Oryctolagus cuniculus: one gene and its partners. The protein of the gene in region 6 interacts with the protein of the main gene of each other region in a pairwise test. Links are inferred from orthologs where the notes say so. Each region holds a gene or a part of one and is shown on either strand. Other genes may lie near its edges.

Region 1 (4,038 bases), on a different chromosome or scaffold from region 6:
TTATAGGTTATAACTGTTACACTCTAGTATAAACCACTATCTTAATATTATCATTACATTTAAAATATTGAAATACTCAACATCTCCCACTGATTAACTAGACTCACAAAAATAATGTGGATAATACTCTACCAACCTGTCATTGCTACTAGAACAATAAATTACATAATGTCTTTTATGAATGGTTGTTATAATTGACAGGTTGAATGAGTAGCATATATTTTCAAAATTCAGAATTTTGAAAAATATTAAATAATTTGTTAATATGGAAAATTTAATGAGAATCCATAAATAATTCCAATGATAATTTATCAATAGTTGTTTACTCTTTGTGTACTTGGTTGACTCTGGAATGCAATTATAATATTATAGAATGTGTGATCCCCTTTAAAATGAGAACAAAGTCTTTCAGAAAATAGAATTGTAATATCAATAGATATAATTTTGATATATCTATTAAAATCTAATGTGTCTGAAGTTTCCAAGTGTTGTTAAAAAGTATATGCTTTAAGTCATGGTTAAAGATATTAGGTTTTTACATCAAATAGTATCATACAATATTATGTATTGAAAGAAGGGCTGAGAAATATCCCGAAAAATTAACACCAGGTAGATAATATGGTTAATAACTCTATTAAGAAATAAGGATTCATATTAATTTGTATCTTTCCATTTTTAAAAAAAATCCAAAGCATAAATTCAAACACAACAATACTTTAGGTCTATGTTCTATATTTTACAGAGGAATTAAAAAAATTAAAAGCTCGTGAAAGAAAGTAGAATTAGATTTTAATTAAGAAAATGTTAATGTCAGCCTAAAGCTATGCTAAAATTCTGAATAAAACATGGCTACTGTAATTGGACCAGATCTGTTTCCTTAGGAAGTTGTTTCTAATTCTGAAGCTGCATATGTGCAAGCATAAGTGATGGAGAACGTAACGGTTGCCATGGTTAAGTACGCATCTTTTCTTGGACAGTCAAATGTTTAAAAAATGTATAAGGAGTTCTCATGATATGTTATGGAAATTGATTCTGCTTTCCTTACCACACAAGTTAGTATGATGCAATGAAGTAGGAGACAGAAATAGCCCACAGTTTAAAAAACTTCAGCCCATTAAGATGGCTTATAAAAAGTGGAGTAAAGATGATACAAGAAATCTCCAAGTCAGGTCACTCTAAATTAGTGTTGGGTAGGCAGTAGGTTCTAACTCCACTAAATTAATGAATAACCAGACCGTAGGACATTTCACAGCCCTCAGATAACACAGGAGTCCAAATGCAGTCCTTGCTAAACACACCTCCAGTATGCTTTTGTCTTGATATTCCTAAGGAAAAATAAACATTCCTACATCCCTACTTTCTCATTCTTTCCTAGCTGGGATCAGGGGTTTCCAGGAGGCAGGGACTTGAGTATCATACTGTCTTTTGCAAAAAAGATCTCCTGGTGGTTCCCTTAGAATCCGGAAGTCAGATTAATGAAGCCCAGGATAGAGGCGTGACACTGGGACTGGAGAGGTGGTAAGTTCTGTTTGGAATCCAGGCAGGTTCTGAGGCGCTGAAGAGCCCACGTGTGAAGGGGCTGGAGAACTTTTCCACCGCTTTCCCATTGGAAATGCCTGATTTTTAAATAGGGGGCCGGCTGGGGGGAGGGGTTAGACAGAAGGTGGGCAGTAAAAAAGAAATGGCAGAGGAGGTTTCAAGCCCTTCACAGCTTATCGATTTACGCATGATCTTTTCCCCCTTTATTCTCACCTCTGGCCAACTTGACTATTTTGCCCTTTTATAGAACGACTTAAGCAGCCGGGATGCTAAGCATCTCATAGGCTCAGCCTGGAACAAAGAAAACCGAGTTCCTAACACTGTATCTCTCCCGTTGGAGGGATCACGTGTCCTGCTTTCGCTGGAATGCACTCTTCTCGCCCACGCTATAAAATCTCTATTGTGCTTAGAAATTTTGCTCACACACAAACTGCTTTTCATCCATCACGAGGGCTACATTTCAACGTATACAGGTACGTATATTTACCTGCTGACCCAGTTACCCCTGCAAGTAAATTCGGTATGTCCAAGGTGTATTGGGAAAGTAACCGAAAAGAGCAGGTGGAAGACCCCCGTGTGTCACCCATCCCACCCCACCCCCCTCGCTTTTGGAAGGAGAACTCCGAAAGGAACGTGGGAGTCGCAGATGGTTCCTTTCTGAAGCCCATTCCCGGGAGTTGTGAAAGTGACCCCTTCCCTTCTCCGCCTCCCGCTGCGCGCTCCCGCCCCCGCCCCCCCTCCCCAATTCGTTCCCTTTGTGCCTTGGTGGGGAGGAGGCTGCGAGAGAGGAAAGGGAGGAGAGGGCGGAGGCGGGTCCTTTATTCAGCCCTGATGGCCGAGAAGTAGTGTAATGAAGCAATTTTGCAGCCATCTCGTCTATTATGAAGTCACACTGTCTTTAAAAGCAATCCATGCACCCCCTACCCGCCGCCCCTGTTCTTGACTCCGCAAACAGTAAAACTGCAGACCGCCAGTAGCCAATCTAACTGCCCGCGAGCCAGGGTGCCAGGATCACCTTAATGCTAATGTGCTTCCCTTCTTCTTTCCTCGTAGGATCCGAACCAAGTCCTGCATCCTAAACGCCTCAGAAAGGAGGATGCAAAATGCTGAAGGGGGCCCCGGCTGGATGGGGAATAGTGCAGGTTCACCAGCTTCTCAGTGCAACACAAAGGAGATGTGCAGGCAGGAGTTGTGTAGCTCAGCGGAGGGGGCCATCATTCTCCCTGACTCCCAGGGAAAGCGTTCACCCTACCGCCACCCCACTTCTCTCTGTCCCCCAGCCTGTCATGGTCCTTCCTCCACTCCATCCCCACAAACCCCACCCTTTCCCACCGAACCCCAATGGCATAAAGATCTCCTAACTGCATTTGTCAAATCCATACGAATTAAGACAGTCATCCAACACCTTCCACAATAAAGGGACAAGTGCAACCTGCCACAAGTGTGTGTGTGTGTGTGTGTGTGTGAGAGAGAGAGAGAGAGAGAGAGAGAGAGATTAAACACGCGCTTCATCCCTCAGACACCTCCTGGCAAAAGCAAACCGAGATGCCCAAGATAACGAAGAGGAGCTTTAGCCAAACCTCAGCTGGAGCAGTGGTCCCAGCACCAGCTCCCAACGTTCGCTCTTTACCTCTCCTTTTCGCAGTATGTAACCCTTTAGGGTCTCTCGCCAGCCCAGACCACTCGGTGTTCCCGTGCACCCGCCCAGTTAGCACCCAATTTCCAAAAGCCCTGAAACCTACCACATCCCCGCCGCCGCCTCCGCGGCCACCGTGCGAGCTACTCGGAACGAGCGCCCCAGCCTCGCGCCCTCCCGCCCCCGCCCCCCCCGGGGGGGAGGGAGACCCTCACCTCCGGGGAGACCCCCGCAGTCCCCTCAGTCACCGAGAGAAAGTGCCTTACTCACATGGCCGGTGGGAGAAACTGCCCATGAGGTTCCGGAGAGCGAGAGAGGTGCAGCTGCCAAGGATTATTCCTTAAAGTGCTCGGTGGTCCGCAGTGGAGTGGGCGCGAGGGTCCTCGCAGGAGGAGGAGGAGAGGGGAGGAGGAGGACGAGGAGGAGAAAGAGGGGATTCCAGGCAGGTGCCACGTTAGACCATGGTGCCGGTGCCCTTCAGGTGGACGGCTGGAGAGGTTCCCGCGGGAAGCGCCGAGGGGAAGCCCGAAGCGCCGGCGGGGGAGGCAGGAGCGCGTCCACTCCCCAGCCTCCGCCTGCCCTGCGCGCCGCGCTAGCGACCGCAGCAGCAGCGGCAGCGGCGGCGGCGGCGGTGGCGGTGGCGGAGGCGCAGCTCCTTCCCCACCCCCAGAAGGCTCCACAGACAATAAATCCTGGGCGGAGAAGAGACGAGCAGGCGAGGCGAATCGGGCACCCAACTCCGTACCACGCTCTGCCCGCAGCTGCGCCTCCGCGGGGCGAGGATCCCCGGGGGCCGGAGCGCAGTGGGCAGCTCTGAGGGGGCTGTGCGCTCCCGCCGCTGCAGGCTACTGCGGTGGTCCGAG
Region 2 (3,500 bases), on a different chromosome or scaffold from region 6:
CTCTGATTTAAAGCAGTGGGGAAAGAAAGGAGCTTAATGCAATCAGCTCACTTTCTTTCTCCTCCCTCTGGTGAACTCCAAAAGCTGTAGAAGATTCTAGGGTTTCTGGATCTTGCATCAAAAGGGTCAATTCCCACAGCAATTTAATCTAGTTTCTGGAATAGGACCTACGGCCTCCAACGCAAATGTTCACTTTAAGGGCACCAACTTCAATCTAAGTCATGGGAAATTATTTTAGCATCATCTAATCTCTAGCAAAACAGAGCAGTAGTTGCCTCTGGGAAAGAGAATGGGGTGGGAGGGCAGCAGGTAAACCGTTTGCATTTTGCTTCATAAATTATCTATGCAAAAAAAATTAATAATAAATTAAAAATTTTAAAAATCTTTAGTCCTCTTTCTGTGATTTCCTGTACCTTGTTGTCCATAATTGTCCACTGGCCCTCAGGATTCTGCTTCAAAACACAGTGCTTTCTGGAAATCATCAAAGGGCAGACTTTTGACACCAGTTGGTATGTGACACTAAATCCTCGTCCCAGAGACACCTAGGAAGGTAACAACAATGAAGAGACACAATCAATCATTATGCGAAATAGGGAGGCCCTCTACAAGCTTATCAACTAGTGTGGTACACAGATCCTGACCTACGAAACCCGGATTCCTGCAAAACCTACATAGATCCTCGGCGATTTCCTCTTCAGCTGCCACAAAGCCAGCACACAGAAAAAGGAAAGAAGTTACAAAAAGAAGAAGCTGAAAGGGATTAACCATGGAATGTAAAGGTTAGGAGGTCCTGGAAAGGTCATCTGGTTCAATCACCCATGACATTAAGGAATTATTTCCACACATCCCAATCAACAAATCTAAAACACAGCCAAGAACCACAGCGTTTAGATGAGACAGGCCCCCTGCTTTTCCAGTGGTCCTTTCTCCCTATACATTCCATCCATTGGCTGAGGCTCTGTCCTGGGCACTATCAGAAAATCCCCAACTCCCTTTCCAAGTCACAGCTATCTACCAAGTCTTCTCTCTTCCTGGCTCAGGAACCTAGTTACTTTAACCTTCCTCCAATGTACGGGTTTGAATCTCTGTCATTCTAATTGATCTGTGAAAGGACTCCTAGCTTATCTTTATTCCTGGATGTGGGGAGCAACCCGGACTAGACTGAGTTACTGGAATTAAGACTTATTCTATGCATCTGCTCTCCCACAATATGGCGCTGGGAGAGAAGAAAACAGCTTCTACACAGCTGCCTCCAGTTCAGCCAATAAACTGTAGGACTCGCTCCTGATTGGAGGAGAGCAGCGTACTCGGCGTGTGGGCAGCCGAGTTAGGATTGGCGGAGGAGGACTATAAAGGAGGAGAGAGACGGCATGCACCAGGAACATCTAAGGGGAACACCTGTGCAGCCCCCGAGAGAGCCGGCTGGCAGTGTGCCGCTCCCCTGCGGAAGTGGGGAATGTGGCCAGGGGGAACTGCCCTTCCACGGAGGTGGAAGGGACAGTAGCCAACCCGGGAAGAACCAGCAGCAAACCCGGGGAGGGCCGAGCAGACGAAAGAACAGCGCAGGGTCCTGTGTCGTTCCTCCACGAAGAGGGGGAGCGGCATAATGGTGCCATGACTCGGATATGAAGCCTAGGCAGGGTTTAGTGTCGTTCCTCCACGAAGAGGGGGAGCGACACCTGGATGCCATATTAAGAAAAATAAACTTAATTTCCATTACATAATCAAGGCCAAGCATCACTTTCCCAGTTCTTGATATTACCACTGCAGCATATAAATGGCATTAGCTTTCAAAGCAGATCCAGTGCCCTGGAAGGATATCCTCAAACTTAGAGATGTTTCCCCTCCCCCAAGAACTGCTATGCTAAATCATGTTTCTTCCAGCCTGTACTTGACTAGTTGGAAAAATCTGGATTCCAGTGCAGGACCTTACATTGATCCCTATTAAATTTCATCTTGTTAGTTCAGCCTATCACACCGGCTTGTCAAGACTTTTCTGATTTTTAATCCGCCATCAGATCAGACATACTCAATATTCCTTGCAGCTTTAAATCATTCACCAAATTGATATGCTTTCTGTACCTTCATCCAAGACACAAATATACTGAAATGGGATGTAGCCAAAGACAAAGCTCTCAAGAAAGCTTCTACTAACAGTCTGAGTGTAGCTTCAGTCATAATCCAATCCGAGTTTCTGCACTGAGTCCAAGTCCTCTGTCTCCCACAGGGACAAGGCTGAACAGAACGCTAATTCCCAACTGTCATGCTTTCCTGACTGACCTGTCTGGTTCACACAGCCCAGCGAAGGTGGGAAGTGAAACTCTTCTGTCATCTAGGCTTAGAATTCCATGCTTGCTGTTCTCAGTGCATAAACCACCTCCTTAATGATCCACATTGTAAACGTAGCTGGCAACATTAAATTAAAACCTGTGGTTTTTGAAAAACTACTCTTTATCGATTTTAAAATCTTCAGATTCACGCCTGTTTTCCTCTGTCCCTCAGACTGAGGACCGTGACTCTCTCTGACCTAATCTATTAGGTTTCCACAAACTCTCATCTCAGTAACCGACACTGCCATCTATACAAACTGCTCAGCCCCAAACCCACAAGCCCTCTTTGATCGATCTGTTCCTCAGCCCCAGATCTCAACTGGCAGCGATTCTATGGCAGTGACTCAAACACATCTCAGCCTACTCATTCCTATCCCCATGACCCCTACCCAAGTCCAAACCACTGGGCTTCTTGTTCCTGTTCTCATCCTCCTTAACTCTGTTCACACACACACCGGCTGGAGTGGTAATAAGAACTTTAAATCAGGTAACTTCCTTTCTTCCTTTAAAATCTTTCAATGATCCAAACTTCTTCCCAAAGCCGTAAAGCCGCCAATGTCCTGACCGCCTTCATGCCTTTCCCTTAGTGCCATGCACAGCCCAGACGCTAGTTGTTTCAGCCATCAGGCCTTCTCTTCATTCTGTCACCTCCCGCTCCAACATCCACTGACCTGGGAGCCTTCTCCCTTGTCCACTTGGCTTGGGGCACTCACTTCTCAGATCTTTATGCGGTGCTTTGTCACCTTTCAAGTTTCAGCGCCTCAGGTCTTGTTGCTATCTGCTCCCCTCCCCCATTGTATTTCTTCATGTTATTAGCATGCAGTTACCATGATCCAAAATTATCTTGTTTTACTTTTCCCTTCCCCTTTATTAGAATATGAACATCATAAGCAGGCACTTTATCTTTTTTTTTTTTTTAACAGCCAGAGTTAGACAGTGAGAGAGAGACAGAGAGAAAGGTCTTCCTTCCTTTAGTTTACCCCTCAAATGGCCACTACAGTCAGTGTGCTGCGCCGATCCGAAGCCAGGAACCAGGTGCTCCTGGTCTCCCATTCGGGTGCAGGGCCCAAGCACTTGGGCCATCCTCCACTGTCCTCCCGGGCCACAGCAGAGAGCTGGACTGGAAGAGGAGCAACCGGGACAGAATCTGGCGCTCCAACCAGGACTAGA
Region 3 (3,215 bases), on a different chromosome or scaffold from region 6:
CCATGCCGAGGGACAGCAGGAAAGATAGAAAAGTGGGGAAAAAAATAAATAAAATCTGAAATTTTGAATCAGAAATTGGAAATTATCAAAATGCTGGGATTCGGTACAAATTCATCTCCCAAGGTTCTGTGCCCTCTGGTGAGCCGCAAAACAAACAGAACCCAGGAAACACAGCGGTAACTGACAAAGTGGATGGAGGGCAGCGGGCGCCCTGGCCGACAGCCTCCCTAAATGAACACTAGTGACCGAGTGAGAGATGCCGCGGCGCGGGAACGTGGAGCGGTCCTGGCCCACGGGAAGGCTCGCTCCCTGGCACTCCTCGTCCCACACAGGCCTCCCTCCGGACCGGAGTCCGCCCAGCAGAGCCGAGCTGGAACAGGGAAATAGCTTGTTCTGCACTTTTCATGAACTCTAATAAAGAACCCGGGGGAAAAAGGCTAAGTGAGTGGTAGAGGACCAAACAAAAAAAAAAAAAAAAAAAAAAAAAAGCTGGGGGGGGGAATATAAATACAATCTGGGAGCAATATTTATTAATTAAAACTATGTCTTATAGTTTACAAAGATGCTAATTAACAACAAAAGTATAATTGACCTTAAAATCCTCAGTGCACTGAGGCTTCACGTCTCCTCCAGAATCCTGAAGTGTGCTGCAGGCAGTGGGGCCGGGCCGGGGCGCACGGGCATCGCCCGCGCTCAGGGACCACCGTCTTCACCACGCAAGGCTCCTGGTCTCCTTCGGAAGTTCCAACCCCCGGCCTCCACTGTTCTCTTCCTGCCCCCAACAATTCCAGCTCCCAGGAGGGCCCTCAGTTTTATCGTCGGGAGAATCTGTTCTTGAAAGCTTTTATCGTCTTGGCCATCATCGGGGCAATTTCTGTAGAAAGAAACCGGGCAGTCGCTTTAGATCTGTGGCGGCGCAGACACGCGCCGGCACCACCGGGGTCTGCGAGCAGCGCCAAGCCTTTCCCCTTTCCGCTGTGCACCGGCAGACAGACGGATGCCATCAGTGAATCTGCTGACACCGCAACAGAGGCGACAGCACAGAGCGGCACTCGCTGAGGACCTGTGGGCGGGGCCGCCGCTCTCACCCCGGCCCCCGCAGGGCCCACGGTCACTGTGTCAGGGCAGAGCTGGGGTTCCCTCCTTGCCAGACTCGGCAGTAATCTAACGTGGCCTCGCAGATGTCCAATCAGTGACCAGCACTCCCGCCGTCCCTCATGCTGTCCAAGTCCGAGATGAGCCGCACAAACTCCTGACTCGCAACAGGTGAACCTGATGCTTGGGCCCAGCCAAGAACACAAAATACTTAAGTCAGGACTCCCTTGGGGATCCTGGGGATCGTGCATGCACCCGTGGGCCGTGCAAAGCCCACAGCTCCTTTGGGCTGGCCTTGCCAAGGCAACCTCAGGCGGCACTCAAGATTCAATACATCTACAGCAGGCTGATTTGTGGGTTGATAATTCTGCATGGGACCAGCGAACAATGTTATACATATCCAAATGGCCCTTGGCAGAAAAACGGTTCTATCACAGACTACTGCTGGTCTATGGTAATGAAGCTAATAAAGTAAAAAATAGATCCAAAAAGAGAAAAAAAATATTTAGAAGGTTATAAGACTCAAGTAAGATGTTACACTTAGCTGTCGGTAGTAACGACCACTTCCCCAGAGAAACAGGCTCATGTTACCTCCAATACTACGATCTCACACCATCGCCGACATGGCGGGGTGGGGAGGAGGGGCCGCCGTGCAGCCCAGCGCCTGGGAGGCGTCCTTCAGAAGCAACACCCCCCCCCCCACACACACACACACAGGACGCAATGCAACAGTCGCTGCATGCAGGGGGCTCAGCAGGAACCCGAGTTACTCACTCTTCACAGTTGGCTTGCGAGGATCGTAGGAAACAGTGCTGACCACTGGCGCCAGGTGGGCACTGCTGGTGCTCGGGCCGTCGTAGGCCGGCTCCTCGGGGCTGGCGTTAAAGCTGTTGCTGCCGGAGGTGTGGCTGCTTCCGCCGGTGTACGGGGCGGGCTTAATCCTGTAACAAGAACACAGCTGGGCAGTCACGAGCAGAAGAGATCTGCCCTCAGCACGGACAGTGTGGTTCCTCCTGCGGCTCTGACCGGCGGATGCGGGCGCCCTGGATTCTGGTGGCGGCACAGGGATGGCTGCTGCATCAGCCTTTCAGAATGAATGAGAGCCTCAACTCTCACTGTTTCTTTTTTTAAATGAAGATAATATTTGAATGTCAGAGAGAGAGAGATTGATCTTCCACCCGCTGGTTCACTTCCCATACGGCTGCAATGGCTGGGGCTGGCCTCTCCCATGGGTGTAGGCACCCAAGCATCTGGGCCATCTTCCACTGCTTTCCCAGGTGTTTTAGCAGGGAGCCAGGTGGGAAGTAGAGCAACCAAGACTCGAACCAGCATCCACACGAGATGCAGGCACCACAGGCAGCTGCTTTACCCGCTGTGCCACAACGCTGGCTTCATCTCCTTTCATTTCTTAGGTTCCGGACTCTCTTCTGAAAATGCTCATGTAGGGGCCACACTGTGGCACAGCAGGCTAAGCTTCTGCCAGGCTGCTGCAGCCATCTAGGGAGTGAACCAGCGCATAGAAGACCTCTCTCTCTCTCTGTCTTTCCCCTTCTCTGTAACTACCTCTCCAATAAATAAAATTTTTAAAAAATTTTTTAAATAAAGAGAAAATGTCTATGTGGCTTAGATGCAATAATTTTGCTTAAACAGGGAAAAGGAAAGCCAGTGAGTGCTTCCGCTGTGCCGGGTCCTGTGTCCAGGTTAATCCTGACAGCCCTAAGGCACAGGAAAACAATCTGCCTTATGCTGCTGTCCAGGAGTCCAGGCTCGGGGGGCAGAGCGTTGAGCTGGCCGAGGGCCATCCCCACCATGGGCGAGTTGCTTCCCGCACCCACGGCTCCCTCGCAGTGGGGAAGACGACCTCCCAGCTCTCTTCCCCAAGCAAGAACAGAGCGCTTACTTGATTCTGTCAGCGACAACTGCTCCTCCCGTTCCGAACTTCTCCTGCCTCCTTCGGACGTCGCGAGGCGGCTTGGCCACAGAGTTGACGAAGGCCATCTTTGCTTGTCTGCCTGTGGAGGAACATGGAGCTGCCCACCTGCCCATGCGCCTCCTTGAGCAGAGACGCCATCTGCAGCGGTCCAGGTCCCCGGAGCTAGAGGTTGTTCATCAACCCAGAA
Region 4 (2,955 bases), on a different chromosome or scaffold from region 6:
CAGCTCTGACGTCTTCCTCTCCACGCCACTCCACGCCACTCACACGCACACAACAGACTCACATATTCTTGGCCAGCCCCTCTCTCTCCAATATAACTTGCCACTGCATTTATTACCTGGTGCTTTCATTGTTGACAGTTTGCCTCGCTACCCCACTACATTCAGAGCACCCTTTGTTGGATGTTAGGGTCTAGCATCCAATGAATATCTGTAGGAGGAGCTGGGCTGGATTGAGAGAGGTACATTACATGGAAATGAATTGAACTGAACCAAAATGACAATGGGAACACAAGACAAGACACTCTCACAGCAAGAAGATTGCATGTCACCCTGACTTCTTCATCAAGGGTCTTCCCAAAGACCCACCACCTCCAGAATCGCTCCTCAGTTCCCCAGCCATGCTGCCCCCCAGCCTCAACCTGGAGGGTCCTTATTGCTTCTTATGGAACAGAGCCGGGGCTGGCTCGTTGCTGGGCTCGGCCATGACCTGCATGGGCTGGTTGTTGAGGGCAGCCTCGCGCATCTTGTAGTACATGAACTCGTTCTGGCGGAACATGCGCAGCTCCATCTCCGTCTGCACCCGCATGGCCTGTGGGACACAGAGACACCATAAACAGGTGGCAAGGCCCCAGGACATGTGGCCTTGGGCCGACCTTGGGGTGAGTGGCTCTCAGGCACCAAGATTCAAGTCTTCCCCCAGGACACACACATACTCAAGCACCAGAGGCCTCATGCCCTGGCAGGGGCCCAGAGTGTTAGGGAGAGGGAGTCAGATCCCTGAGTGACTGGAGGGATTGTTCTCAGCAGAGGGAGTTTGTTCTCAGGAACTGAAAGTGTGAGGACCTGGATTTGAACCCTGGCTCCTGTGTTTAATGAGACCTCAGGCCAGTGACCTAGCCCTCAATTTTCTCACCCTTGAAATGGGAAACTTGCAGTGGGCTGGGAGAGAGCAGTGTGACACTCAGGCAAGCTCTCCTTCTGCCATATACCTGTTCAGAACATCCTTGCTAAAGGCCGCTGAGGGTGCTGAGGGTACCCCAGTGACTAAGATAGCAAAGACTGCCCTGACCCAGCAGCACGCAAGACAGAGTGGCTACCTCCACTTTCCGTTCCTTGCTTGGTCCCGTTTTATAGGGAAGAAGACTGATGACCTGCTAGTAAAGGGACAGCCACAGCTGATGTCACACTAGTCCTGTTACAGCCATTCTGCAAGCCAATGCATGACACAAAATCTGTCAGCTGTCCCTGGACTGCACCGTCTGAGGACTGCCTGTCACTCTCCAGCAAACCAGTCCTTCAAAGCACAAAGGAAACCAGCAGCCATTGCCATCACCCCACTTGTCAGATGCCGTGCTAAGGGCTTTTACACACGAATTCCTTGAACCCTCACCGCAATGCTATCTTCTTCACCCATTTTACTGATGTGCAGACTGAGGTCTACAGAATCAATATTTACAAACTCACACAGCTAGAAAGCTTCCCACTCTGGAATTTAATCCCGAGAGTGATTCCAGAGCTTTTGATCCAAAACTCCACTCTCTGTAGCACAGAGCACTTTCTAGGACAGATGGCTGTACACATGAACACACACACACTCACCGCTGTTGGGCTTTCTCTGGGCAGGCTTGGGCCATCAAGTTGCCACAGACTAAGGGTTCAAGTCTCAGCTTTGCCATCAGCCAGTCATGTGACCACAGACAGATGACTCCCCACCCCTAGGCCTCAGTCTCCTCAGTTGTACAACGAGGGGAGCAGGCGGAAGTGTTCTGAGTCCCCTCTGGGATAGATGTCAGTTTCTGGACTTGTCTGCAGCAGCGTCTACCTGACCTCAGACTGGTATCTTCAGGGAGGTCAGACTAGGCAGGGAGCACCGGGCCCTCGGTTCTACTTGCCTCTAAGTCCTTGGTGATGGGGTGGGAGGGTCCGTGTGTCACCAGGAGAATGGCGTAGGCTTTGCAGATCATCCCGTGCCCCACTTCAATGTTGCCAGCGTGCCAGTTGGTCAGCCCTGCCCGCATCACAGCCATGCCCAGTTGGGCATTATTGGGGTGGTAGAGCTTCCTGTAGGGCAAATAATCAAGACCCATCATGGCAACCATCTTTACAATTGTATGTCATTGGACAGCTGGTATAGTGCCCTTGTGGGTTAAGTCCTTCTGCTTCTCCCACTGGTGCTACAAGGCATCTGTGGCTGGCCAAGAGGGAAACCAGGTGCAGAGACTTGCCAAACACCTCCCCACCCCCACGATGAGGCTGTGAGAGCTAGCACTCAGACCTGGGCCACCAATCCAAGCCCTCTCGGAGAACAGAGCCAGGATGGCCCTCTGGGCTTGGATACAGGGAGCCGGAAGCTCTCAGGAAGGACTGCCACAGCCTCCTCCCTGGGGAGTGACGGGACATTCAAGGGGGAGACAGTGTTGTATTTTTCACCTCCATGACACCTCTTGGCAGGGGTTCTCTTTTCAGTACATTGTACAGCCCACCCGCGCTTTTTTTATGACTAGCAGCCTCTCCCAAGAAATGAACCTTCTTGTGCCAACTTACTCATTTGGCCAGAAATTCAGTCACATGCCAAAATGGGTACAGAAGGCAAGAGTGGTTATTTGCAGAGGGAAGGCAAGGGAGTCGCATTTTACAATTTATAAGCAAGGATGGCAGGTGTATCTTCTGTTTTTTAAAATAAAAGATAGTTTGCAAGATTGCTTATGCTGATTGTTAGGAAAGGTTTTCATTAAGCTGGAATTAGAAGTAAGAAGACAAAAAGCGTAAGATGCCACCCGAGTGGTAGATGAGATGGGGAATTTGACAAAGAACAGGGGTGACAAATAGGTTGTATCCCAAATCCCAACTCTGACTGGATATTGTGCTCAGAGGGTCACCATAAAAAGGCTCAGTTACAAAGAGAATCATTATTGATTACTAATGCCTGCTGGGGGTGCAGGAGGGAGGGTTAGC
Region 5 (3,500 bases), on a different chromosome or scaffold from region 6:
GATGGGACTTGTGAAGACCTATCAGGTTGTTAGTATTCAGTAAGTGCTTACCAAATAGGAGGAACCCACATCCCTTTTGCATTTGTGAGTGACAGTGGTATTGTGGTAACTGTGTTGGTAGTGCTCTTAGTGGTGATGGTGGTGACAGTGGTAGTGATGATGGTGGTAATGGTAGTAGTTGTAGTGCTGGTGGTGGTGCTGATGGTGGTGAGGATGATGATGGTGGTGACAGTGGTAGTGATGACGGTGGTGCTGCTGGTGGTACTGTTGGTGGTGAGGATGATGGTGGTAGTGGGAGTGCTGCTGCTGTTGGTGGTATTGATGATGATGATGGTGGTAGGAAGGTGGTAATGGTGAGATGGTGGTAATAGCAGTGGTTATGATGATGGTGGTGGTGGTGTGTAAAAAACTAAAAGGCACAATGAGTATCACCTGATTTTCTTAATGTCACTTCTTCTTTCCACCATCCCTCCTGCTTCAAGAATATTCAAGACTTGTATCTTCTCTGGGAAAAGCCCTGGCCTGGAAGTCTTAGTTGCCTCTTTAATACAATAATTATGTTTCAAACCCCATGTAAATGCTTCCTATATCTTCTCATCCAAAAAGGCCATTCTTGTGTGGCTGTTGTTATTCTTATTCCTCTTTAACAGATTAGGCTAAATAAATAACTAAATAAATAGTTTCAAGAGGGTGAAGTATGTTGGCTGAAGTTGCCCAGCCAGCAAGCAGCAGAGCTGAAATTCAAATCAAGATTTGTCTGGTGCCAAAAGCACATTTCATGTAACATACCTGGGAAGCACAACAGATAATCAGTAGCGTGTCTGGGAGTGGTGATGGGTATGGAGATGTGTGTGTGGGGGGGTTCTTTTGAGGCTGCAGTTTTGTTCCTTGTCCGCTAACACTAAAGTTTCAGGAGCTGGGACACCATGCAGAGTTGGAGGCCTGCAGAGTCAGGGCTGCAGATTTAAGCCCCTCCTACCTTTTCAATGCCATTTCTTGAGTTTTCGGGTTTCACCAGGATGGATGGTGGAGCAGAAGCAGGCGGTTTTGGCAGAGGCTCACTCTTGATGGGGATTTCCTTGCCTTCCATGATGAGAGAGCTGGCGGCCGAGTGCACCCTGGAGTCGCTGCTCTTGCTCATACAGGTGAGGGCTGGCTCTCCCATAGGAGCAGGTTTGGGACCCACCTCCAGCACCGCTGAGGGGGATGAGGGGGCCCCCTGAGGCTGGTAGAACTGGAACTGCTGAGGTTGTAGCACCATGGTGGGGCTACGCCTGAGGGAGCCCACCACAAGGGTGGGGATCCCAGATGGAACGGGTCTCTGCAAGGATCCATCTGGGGAATGACACGACAGAGATGTCAGCAACAGGGCGGCAGACAGTGGGTGTGGTCGGGGCTGGGGAAGCAGTGTGTGCTGATATCCCAGAGTAGTTAAGTGCTTTCCTAATTGGACTACACTCTCATTCTCTTAGGGTCTTTGAGAGGTGACCTTATTCTTTCTTTAGTGCTATTTGCTGATGTTGGCAGCAAATAACTGGCTAGCTGAATGTTGTATGTATGGCAGGCATGTCAGAGGTACACTGCTGCCCTTCTCTCTCTCTCTCTCTCTCTCTCTCTCTCTCTCTCTCTCTCTCTCTCACACACACACACACACACACACACACACACACACTCCTTTCTCCTAGGCTTTTGAGACAGATTGAAGAAGAGAGACAGCTTTTTAGTAAGAAGCAGGCAGACCAGAGAAAGGACACAAGAGACAGAGAACTTGAGACACACAAGAGGAAGACAGCTAAGAGAATGAGGAGGAGGATAAAGGGGGTGGAGGGAGGTGCTGTACCCCTGCTTGCTGCACAAAGTCCCAATGTGAGCTTTAGGTGTGTGTTGGTGGCATCAAGGGAAGATGAGTGGAAGGAGTAGAGAGTGCTCATGCTGGACAAATGGGCCACTCAGTGGAATACTCGGGAAGTTTATTCCTGTGTTAGGGCTGTGTGTGGGCGAGCTTTGCAGGTGTTGTGACACAGGGTCTGGAATCAGACCTCCTCCCCCGGAGCTGGGGATGAGGAAGTCACATCACCTCCCTCACTGGTGAGCAGGAGGTAATGAGAGGATGTCACGGGACTGTGGTGAGGACGACGTATTACGATGCGTGCAAGGTACTAGAACAGTGCCTGGGACATGGTAAATGCCCCTTCCTCGTCAGCTACCATTCATTCCTTCTGGGTAAAGGGTAGCATACGCTAAAAATGCAAGGCCTAATGGTTTGATTTTGATCCTTCCTGAACTCGTTCTTCTTCCTTCTTCTTAAGATTGAGAAGGTCTTCCCTCAGTAAAAGGAAGCCCTCCCTTTCCCTCAAATTCTCTGAAGACAGGAGATCCCTACACTGCAGGTGACCTGGGGAATTAGGACTTCATTACATTCTGGAGGCTGGAGACACGTAGACAGCCACTGGCTGTGTCCCAGCCAGATATGTTTGTCCTTTGCGACACTCCACAGACATGTGTTTGACCAAAGTAATTTGTGTCCAGCACAGAGGCCCGAGCCAGGCCACATTGTGCACTGTGGCTCTTCATTGAGCAGATGTGAACATGAAGAGCCAAACACTCACTAAACACAGTCGGGGTTCTCAGCTGCCTCAAGCAAGCCCGTCACCGTCTACACAAGGCTGACCTTTCAATTTAGACATTGATTTTTCCACTGACAGTCCTGTGAGGTGTACATGGTCAATTCCCCTGTCATTTTGCTTTGCTTTGCAGAGATTGATAGCTTGTCCCGCTTCACCTTGGGAAAAGGTAGAGGAGAAAGCCTTGGGGGCCTAGGAGGCCAAAGCAGCACCAGACAGACAGGTCCTTAGGCTCCCATAAATGGGTGAAAAATTGGTTTCATGCCCTACCCATTTATCTTGTGGGTTCCTAATTTCCAACACAGTGAATGCTTTCTTATTCCAAGTACACACAAGGCAAGCAAAATGCCAGGCCAATCAAGATTCATGCAGAGGGAGGAGCGGAGGGGAGTATAATAAGGGGAGTGCGAGCGGACACCTGTGGGATGCCGTTCTCTGCACTCCTAAGTGGTCTACACTGTGAACAATTTGACTCCAAGCTCAGTTGTGGTCTACCTGAACCCAAGATGGTCTGTTTAGCTATAGTGGCAATGGTAGCACTAGTCAAATAAAACTTTTATTCAAAATTACCCTTTCTGGAGGGCTTTCAACGTGCCAGGCTCTGTGCCGTCAGCCTTCCATGGTTTATTTTATTAAATCCTTAGACTGCATGCTCATGAAGTAGATGTTGTTTTTATTTCCACTTTATAAAGAAGAAAACGTAAGACTGAAAGGATTGGTCAGTTACCAAAGTGATCATAGAGGGATTATTTATGTCGTGTGTAGAATGCGGGGGGAGGGACATGCAGAAGAGGGGACTTGAGGTTGTGGAAGGGAGGCAGGTTGGGTGGAAGGAAGGGGCCAGAATCGTGGGGCTGGTGGCCCAGCAGGTTGTCA
Region 6 (3,128 bases):
CTCCGATCTCTGAGGAGCTACAGCTCGTATGGACCCAAGCAGCCCAGACCAGTGAGCTGGACAGCAATGAACACCTGCTGCAAACCTTCAGCTACTTTCCCTACCCCAGTCTAGCAGACATTGCCCTTCTTTGCCTACGTTACGGGCTGCAGATGGAGAAGGTCAAGACCTGGTTCATGGCCCAGCGCCTGCGCTGTGGCATTAGCTGGTCCTCTGAAGAAATAGAAGAGACTCGGGCCCGCGTGGTCTATCACCGGGACCAACTTCATTTCAAATCCCTTCTCTCTTTCACTCATCACGCAGGGCGGCCCCCAGAGGAGGTGCCTCCTTCTCCAATGCCACACCCGGAACAAGTCGGTCTTGGAATAGGTCCTCTGACTCCCAGCGCGCCCACTCAGGTGAAAGGACTGAAGGTCGAGCCTGAGGAGTCCTCTCAGATACCACCATTGCCACTAAGTCACCAGAAAGCAAAGGAGCCCTTGCTGACACCTGCCAGTGGAGCATTCCCCCATCAATCTGATTTTTGGCAGGATCTTCAAAGCAGTAGCCTCTGTAAGGAGCAGGCAGGTGGGGGTCCTGAGCAGTCACGTGCTGTAGGCACTGCTTCCTGGAACCACTCCACAGGTGTCCACCAGCCGCGTGCTAGAGATAAGCCCCCACCGGTCTCATTACTCGCCAGTAGTTGTAAGGAGGAGTCAGCATCTAGTGTGACTCCTCCTCCTTCCTCTACCTCTTCTTCCTCTTACCAGGTACTGGCTAATGGAGCCACTGCCACCTCTAAACGCTTGCAGCCACTGGGCTGTGTCCCACAGTCACTGTCACCCAGTGAACAGGCACTACCCCCACATCTGGAGGCAGCCTGGCCCCAAGGGCTAAGGCATAACTCAGTACCAGGTAGGGTTGGCCCCATGGAGTATCTCTCCCCAGATATGCAACGCCAGCGAAAGACTAAACGCAAAACCAAAGAGCAGCTGGCTATCCTCAAATCCTTTTTTTTACAGTGCCAATGGGCACGACGTGAGGATTACCATAAATTAGAACAGATCACTGGTTTACCTCGTCCTGAGATCATTCAGTGGTTTGGTGACACACGCTATGCCTTGAAGCATGGGCAACTAAAATGGTTTCGGGACAATGCAGTACCTGGTGCCCCTAGTTTCCAAGACCCGGCCAATCCTACACCACCACCATCGACCCGCTCTTTGAATGAATGGGCTGAGACACCACCTCTGCCGATCCCCCCACCCCCACCGGATATCCGACCCCTGGAGAGATACTGGGCAGCCCACCAACAGCTGCGGGAAAGTGATATCCCTCAACTGAGTCAGGCATCAAGGCTTAGCACCCAGCAGGTTCGGGACTGGTTTGACTCTCGATTACCTGAGCCAGCTGAGGTTGTAGTTTGTCTAGATGAAGACGAAGAGGAAGAGGAGGAAGAATTGCCAGAAGATGGGGAGGAAGAGGAGGAGGAGGAAGATGAGGAGGACAACGATGACGATGATGATGTGATCATACAGGACTGATGGGGGGGTGGGTGGGGCTGGAGATTGGAGATGAACCAATTTAGTAACTGTTTAAACAAAGAAACCACCTCTTTTTAATTACTTTGTGGCAAAGAACTGAAAAGCTCTCTGTTCTTCAGGGTGGGTGAGGGGCATAGAGTGAGGGTGGGCCAGGGAGGATGACCAGAGGACACAAAGGAAACCCAGGCCTCCAGCCTCATGGTAAAGACTACTAAGGATCTGGCCAAATGATGGGCTGGGAGCCGGCTCCTGCTTTCCTGTATCTGCTGGTTTTTCCCTCAGTATACTAGAGGCCTGACCTTGGCCCCGCATCAGCAGGAGGGCTGCAAAGGAGGAGCAAGCAATCCTGACACAGTTGGTTCCAGGGCATCCCCAACCCCACCATTTCCCCTAGAATTCAAGGCTGCCTTGCATCCTGCTTTTCTCTCAGAGTACAGGTCCATGCGACATACAGCTAAGAGTCTCAACATGTCCCAGTCTCATCACAAATAACTCCTCTTCCTCATACCCACCTGACGTTACCTTTCACCTGCCTCATCGGTGAAATCACACAGGCAGCAGAATGTTCTCATTTCCAACACTGGGACCACTTTGCCTTGTACTTTTTATCTCTTTCCAAAATCCCCTCTCTGTTCTCTGTTTGTCTCAGGGTAAATCTTCCCCCCACAGAGTTTGTGGAAAAGTTTAATAACGGTGGAGAATACTTTTGACTGGATATTTATTGAGGTGGGAGTTAGGAGAGATGTCCTTTTAAAACAGAATTATAAGGTTGGAAGAGGGATGGTTTTTTCTAGTCAAAGGGTGTTCCATGGAAGTAGGTTCCAGGTTTGGTTTTACAAACCTGACACTACCTCCTGTCCAGCTTGACAGAGACTGGATTTTCATCTTTTTGCTATCGGGTCAGTTTTTGTCCAGAAAAGAGGCTTTTCCTTCTCTCTAAAGGATCTGAATTGGAGACAAAGGGACCATTGTTTCTCATGGAATTTATTATCGATGTTTTAGAATGGTTTTCATTGGTTGGGTTCACATATAAAGCAAATAGATAACCATCTAAAAATAAGATTGGAAGCCTCTGATTGCTAGAATAAAAAGGCCAAAAATAAAACTGTTTCTCTCTTCTCCACTTTGCCACTTCTATGGTTTAGGAATTAATGGAACCAAGTCCATTCATGTTTTTATATTTTGAAGGGGCAGGTGTACTTATGAGGTGAACTGAATTTAATTAATGAGGTTAATTTAACAAAAAACTTTCAAAGGCAGCAGGTTAGCATCTGTCACCAGGCAGACTCTGCTTCCCAGCCGCCAGGTGATGAGGAGGAGGTCTGAGGCTTCAGCAGTGACAGTCTTGGAGACGACTTGTGTGGCCATTCCAGCATTCTAGAGCTTGTAACAATAGAGTTGCAATAGTCAATAAGAAGGCATCCTTTTCATTTTATTATCTACATGCTTGAGTAAGCTGAAACCCTGTCTCCAACTGCTACTTTGACAAAGGAAAATCAACACATTTAATAGTAAGTAGGCCTGGAAGAAACACAGGTAAACAGAAAAGTGTGATCAGTGAGGACAAAGACCAGAGTTGTTACTTGTTAACACTGGCAGTGGAAC
Region 7 (3,500 bases), on a different chromosome or scaffold from region 6:
ATGGACACCTACGCTGAAGACCTGAATTCAGTCTGGCACCTGCACAGCTGCCACGAAGACTAAGGGTTGGGAGCAGATCAAATGGGCAGGGGGGTCGGTGCTGAGAACGGCTGTCCTGGCTCTGCCTGGGGCCAGACTCCTGGCCCCTTCTCCCAGGGTGCCATCTCTCACCCTGAGATGAGTCTCCTTGGCTCTGTTGGAGGAAGGCCGAGGGGAAGCCGGGAGCCAGGGCCAGTCTCGGGTGCTCCCCAGGAGTCATCGGGCAGTTACTCCTGTTTCAGGAAGGTCTTCTTCCCTCACAAAGCACCCCACCTATGTGGTCCCACCACCACAACTGCACTATTTGATCTTCCGTATCTCGTTTTAAAACACTCTCGTTTTAAAATGTTGGGCATTTAGGTCTCTGTGTAAATAGAACTTTCCGATGATTTTGCTAGGTGCAGGCTAGCAGAACCCTGATGGAAGTGTGCTTTTGGCTCTCCTGGAAGAAGGCACTGTTGCTCTGACTGTTCTAGGTGGGCAGTTCTAGATACATGGAGACAGCTGGGTGTGGTGCACGGGGAGAGAAAGAATCAGGATGTGGGAAAGTGCAGGAGCGATTTGGCCTTCTTCATGGTTTCTCTGAGGCCTGACCTGTAGTGACTCAGTCCCCCGACCATCACCCTCACCTCATCAGGAACCATGATCAGCGGGTACTTGTCCTCAGACAGGAAGTTGAAGAGGCACCAGAGCCGGAAAGCGTCCTGATTGGAGAGCATGCTGTTCCCGTTGCTGTCCGCTCGGTAGTTCTTCTTCGCCGTCAGGGTCCAGCACAGCTCATCAAAGTGCTCTTTAACAAAAGCCCCCTCCTCCACCTGCCACCAGACCTGCAGGTGAGCCAGCTGCCCCATCCCTGCTCTGTCACCAAGCTAGGTTCCAGCTCAGCCCACCAGGCTCCACCCTGGACTTGAATAGCAGGTAAGCAGCAGGCTCCATCCCCCACCCCCCATATCCAAATCCCACCCAAATCCCCTGATGACAGAGGAATTCCAGTCCCTCAGCACAGGGGAGAAAGCGGGGGAAACCCAGGGGGCATGAACAGCCAAGGAGAACCTGGGAAGAAGGTGACAGGAGGACTGCTGGGAGGGGGCGGGGGGGGGTGGAGGGTCCCTTGGAGAGGTCATGAGCTGGGACACAGTCTGGAGGCCAGAACACAGATGAAGGACATTAAAGGGACAAGGAGGGGGGCTGGGATGTAAGGACAGGATGGGAGAGCAGGGATGGACAGAGAGGGCAGAAGAGCAAGCCTATCTGAGAAAACGTTGCAGTGGCAAGGTATTGGGACGCTGGCCGGGCTAAGGAAGCATCGAGAGGCTAGAGGTGTCCCACAAGCTGGGCCGCACCTTGTCCAGGATGTACTTGTTGAGGTAGGGCATATAGCCCTGGCTGGACACGGGGCCATCGTCGTCATCTCGGAAGTGCTCCTCCAGGGCCACGGGGTCATGGGGGATGTGCAGGACCGTGTACAGGTTGTGGGACAGCACCTGAGACACAGTGGCAGTGGGCCTTCCTATACCCCAACCAAAACCAGGCCAGCACTCCCACATCCCTGCCTGTCCCCACCCCCATCCTGGCTGAGGTCTCTGCACCCACTGTTCAGTTCAGTGATATGTAAAACTCATACACTTACCATGCGCCAAGCCCAGAGAAAAGTTCTTAATGTGTTATTCACTTGGCCACCATAACAACTACTCATATCCCATTTGCAGAGGATAGACCACCAGAGGCCCCGAAATATTCCTCATCCGAGGTTGCGGCTGGCAGAGCAAGGATTCCAACCCAGGCAGCCATAATCTCAACCACCCCATTAGGTCTACAGACAAGGACACGGAGGCCCAGGGGGCTCATTAACTCGCCCAAGGATCCACAGTGAGCAAGAGCTTGGGTTTCCAGGACTGTGTTGTGGTGCAGCAGGCTAAACCACCACCTGTGCCACTGGCATCCCTTATGGGCTCCAGTTCAGGTTCCACCTGCTCCACTTCAGGGATCCAGCTCCCTGCTAAGGTGTCTGTCAAAGCAACAGAAGATGGCCTGAGTGCTTGGGCTCCTGCCGCCCGAATGGAGCTCCATGCTCCTGACTTTGTTTTTTTTTGTTTTTTTTGTTTGTTTGTTTGTTTTTGTTTTTTGTTTTTTTTGTTTTTTTTTTTTGACAGGCAGAGTGGACAGTGAGAGAGAGAGACAGAGAGAAAGGTCTTCCTTTGCCGTTGGTTCACCCTCCAATGGCCGCCGCGGCCAGCGCGCTGCGGCCAGCGCACCGCGCTGATCCGATGGCAGGAGCCAGGAGCCAGGTGCTTTTCCTGGTCTCCCATGGGGTGCAGGGCCCAAGCACCTGGGCCATCCTCCACTGCACTCCCTGGCCACAGCAGAGGGCTGGCCTGGAAGAGGGGCAACCGGGACAGAATCCGGCGCCCCGACCGGGACTAGAACCCGGTGTGCCGGCGCCGCTAGGCGGAGGATTAGCCTAGTGAGCCGCGGCGCCGGCTCATGCTCCTGACTTTGGCCTGACCCACCGCTGACTGTTGCTGCCATCTGGGACATGAACCAGTGGATGAAAGATTCTTGCCTTCCTGCCTGCCTCTCTCTCTCTCTCTCTCTCTCTCTCTCTGCCTTTTAAATTGAGCCATCTTCTGCTGCTTTCCCAGACACATCAGCAGGGAGATGGATTGGAAGTGGAGCAGCTGGAACCCGAACTGGTGCCCATATGGGATGCTAGTGTCACAGGCAACTGCTCAACCCTATATGCCACAATGCTAGTCCCAATAAATATTAAAAAAAAAAAAAAAGAAGAAGAAGAAGAAGGAAGAAGAGAAGAGAAGAGAAGAGAAGAGAAGAGAAGAGAAGAGAAGAGAAGAGAAAAAGAAAAGGAAGAAAAGAAAAGAAGACAAGAGCTTGGAATTCAAATCCAGCCCTGTCAGATTCCAAAGCCTAAGAGCTTGCAGGGAGGTGGTTGCCACCCCAGGGCAGAAGTCCCGAATCTGTCCGTTTCCATCAGACTCAGCGTGCAGACTGCAGCTTGCCTAGCATCCAGCCGTGTGTGTCCTGGAAGGACCCCTCCGAAGACTGAAGGGAGCTGGGAGGGGTGAGAGAAGGCCAAGAGAAGTGGGGGCCACGGCTGAGAGGGCATCGTGGTTGTGACAGTGTGCAGGGAAATGTGGTTCATTGAACAAATGCATGATATTAGAACAAAGGAGTTGAAGTTTTCAAGACGTGATAAAAAAAAAAAAATTCATGTATCCAATGGCCTTGGGGTAATTCTGTAAGAGCTGTTAGCATAGTCGGTGTGAATGATTAGAAACAGTCACCATTGCACACTTAGCATGCACCAGCCACTGTACGAGAGGCTTTTCCCAGCCTCCTTCTAGTCTCCTGACCTTGTCACACAGGTATTATTATTTCTGTTTTTCAGTTGAAGATAAGGAGGCTTGGAGGATCTAAGAGTAAATGGCAGAGCTGAAGTTGGA

Evidence for each region.
Region 1: the proteins of HOMEZ (region 6) and LRRC7 interact in a two-hybrid assay, tested with the Homo sapiens proteins (2 studies listed by BioGRID). The two-hybrid records come from large-scale screens. The link is inferred for Oryctolagus cuniculus from reciprocal best matches to the Homo sapiens genes HOMEZ and LRRC7.
Region 2: the proteins of HOMEZ (region 6) and RNF8 interact in binary tests that used the Homo sapiens proteins (3 or more experiments, as listed by UniProt). The two-hybrid records come from large-scale screens. The link is inferred for Oryctolagus cuniculus from reciprocal best matches to the Homo sapiens genes HOMEZ and RNF8.
Region 3: the proteins of HOMEZ (region 6) and ELOA interact in binary tests that used the Homo sapiens proteins (3 or more experiments, as listed by UniProt). The two-hybrid records come from large-scale screens. The link is inferred for Oryctolagus cuniculus from reciprocal best matches to the Homo sapiens genes HOMEZ and ELOA.
Region 4: the proteins of HOMEZ (region 6) and SMYD1 interact in binary tests that used the Homo sapiens proteins (3 or more experiments, as listed by UniProt). The link is inferred for Oryctolagus cuniculus from reciprocal best matches to the Homo sapiens genes HOMEZ and SMYD1.
Region 5: the proteins of HOMEZ (region 6) and SH3RF2 interact in a two-hybrid assay, tested with the Homo sapiens proteins (2 studies listed by BioGRID). The two-hybrid records come from large-scale screens. The link is inferred for Oryctolagus cuniculus from reciprocal best matches to the Homo sapiens genes HOMEZ and SH3RF2.
Region 7: the proteins of HOMEZ (region 6) and DEF6 interact in binary tests that used the Homo sapiens proteins (3 or more experiments, as listed by UniProt). The two-hybrid records come from large-scale screens. The link is inferred for Oryctolagus cuniculus from reciprocal best matches to the Homo sapiens genes HOMEZ and DEF6.

Annotation. Positions count from the first base shown.
Region 1 is NC_091438.1:102,839,357-102,843,394, forward strand, and holds the start of LRRC7 (leucine-rich repeat-containing protein 7), read right to left. Parts: upstream 2,801-4,038; 5' UTR 2,614-2,800; coding exon 2,555-2,613; intron 1-2,554.
Region 2 is NC_091436.1:132,279,698-132,283,197, forward strand, and holds part of RNF8 (E3 ubiquitin-protein ligase RNF8), read right to left. Parts: intron 543-3,500; coding exon 414-542; intron 1-413. UniProt on the Homo sapiens protein: E3 ubiquitin-protein ligase that plays a key role in DNA damage signaling via 2 distinct roles: by mediating the 'Lys-63'-linked ubiquitination of histones H2A and H2AX and promoting the recruitment of DNA repair proteins at double-strand breaks (DSBs) sites, and by catalyzing 'Lys-48'-linked ubiquitination to remove target proteins from DNA damage sites.
Region 3 is NC_091438.1:147,226,842-147,230,056, forward strand, and holds the end of ELOA (elongin-A), read right to left. Parts: intron 3,108-3,215; coding exon 2,996-3,107; intron 2,037-2,995; coding exon 1,870-2,036; intron 875-1,869; coding exon 813-874; 3' UTR 501-812; downstream 1-500. UniProt on the Homo sapiens protein: SIII, also known as elongin, is a general transcription elongation factor that increases the RNA polymerase II transcription elongation past template-encoded arresting sites.
Region 4 is NC_091433.1:115,839,260-115,842,214, forward strand, and holds part of SMYD1 (histone-lysine N-methyltransferase SMYD1), read right to left. Parts: intron 2,062-2,955; coding exon 1,893-2,061; intron 590-1,892; coding exon 431-589; 3' UTR 1-430. UniProt on the Homo sapiens protein: Methylates histone H3 at 'Lys-4' (H3K4me), seems able to perform both mono-, di-, and trimethylation. Acts as a transcriptional repressor. Essential for cardiomyocyte differentiation and cardiac morphogenesis.
Region 5 is NC_091437.1:33,520,294-33,523,793, reverse strand, and holds part of SH3RF2 (E3 ubiquitin-protein ligase SH3RF2), read right to left. Parts: intron 1,336-3,500; coding exon 980-1,335; intron 1-979. UniProt on the Homo sapiens protein: Has E3 ubiquitin-protein ligase activity. Acts as an anti-apoptotic regulator of the JNK pathway by ubiquitinating and promoting the degradation of SH3RF1, a scaffold protein that is required for pro-apoptotic JNK activation.
Region 6 is NC_091443.1:51,758,801-51,761,928, forward strand, and holds the end of HOMEZ (homeobox and leucine zipper protein Homez), read left to right. Parts: coding exon 1-1,523; 3' UTR 1,524-2,628; downstream 2,629-3,128. UniProt on the Homo sapiens protein: May function as a transcriptional regulator.
Region 7 is NC_091436.1:134,127,577-134,131,076, forward strand, and holds part of DEF6 (differentially expressed in FDCP 6 homolog), read right to left. Parts: intron 1,524-3,500; coding exon 1,383-1,523; intron 855-1,382; coding exon 669-854; intron 1-668.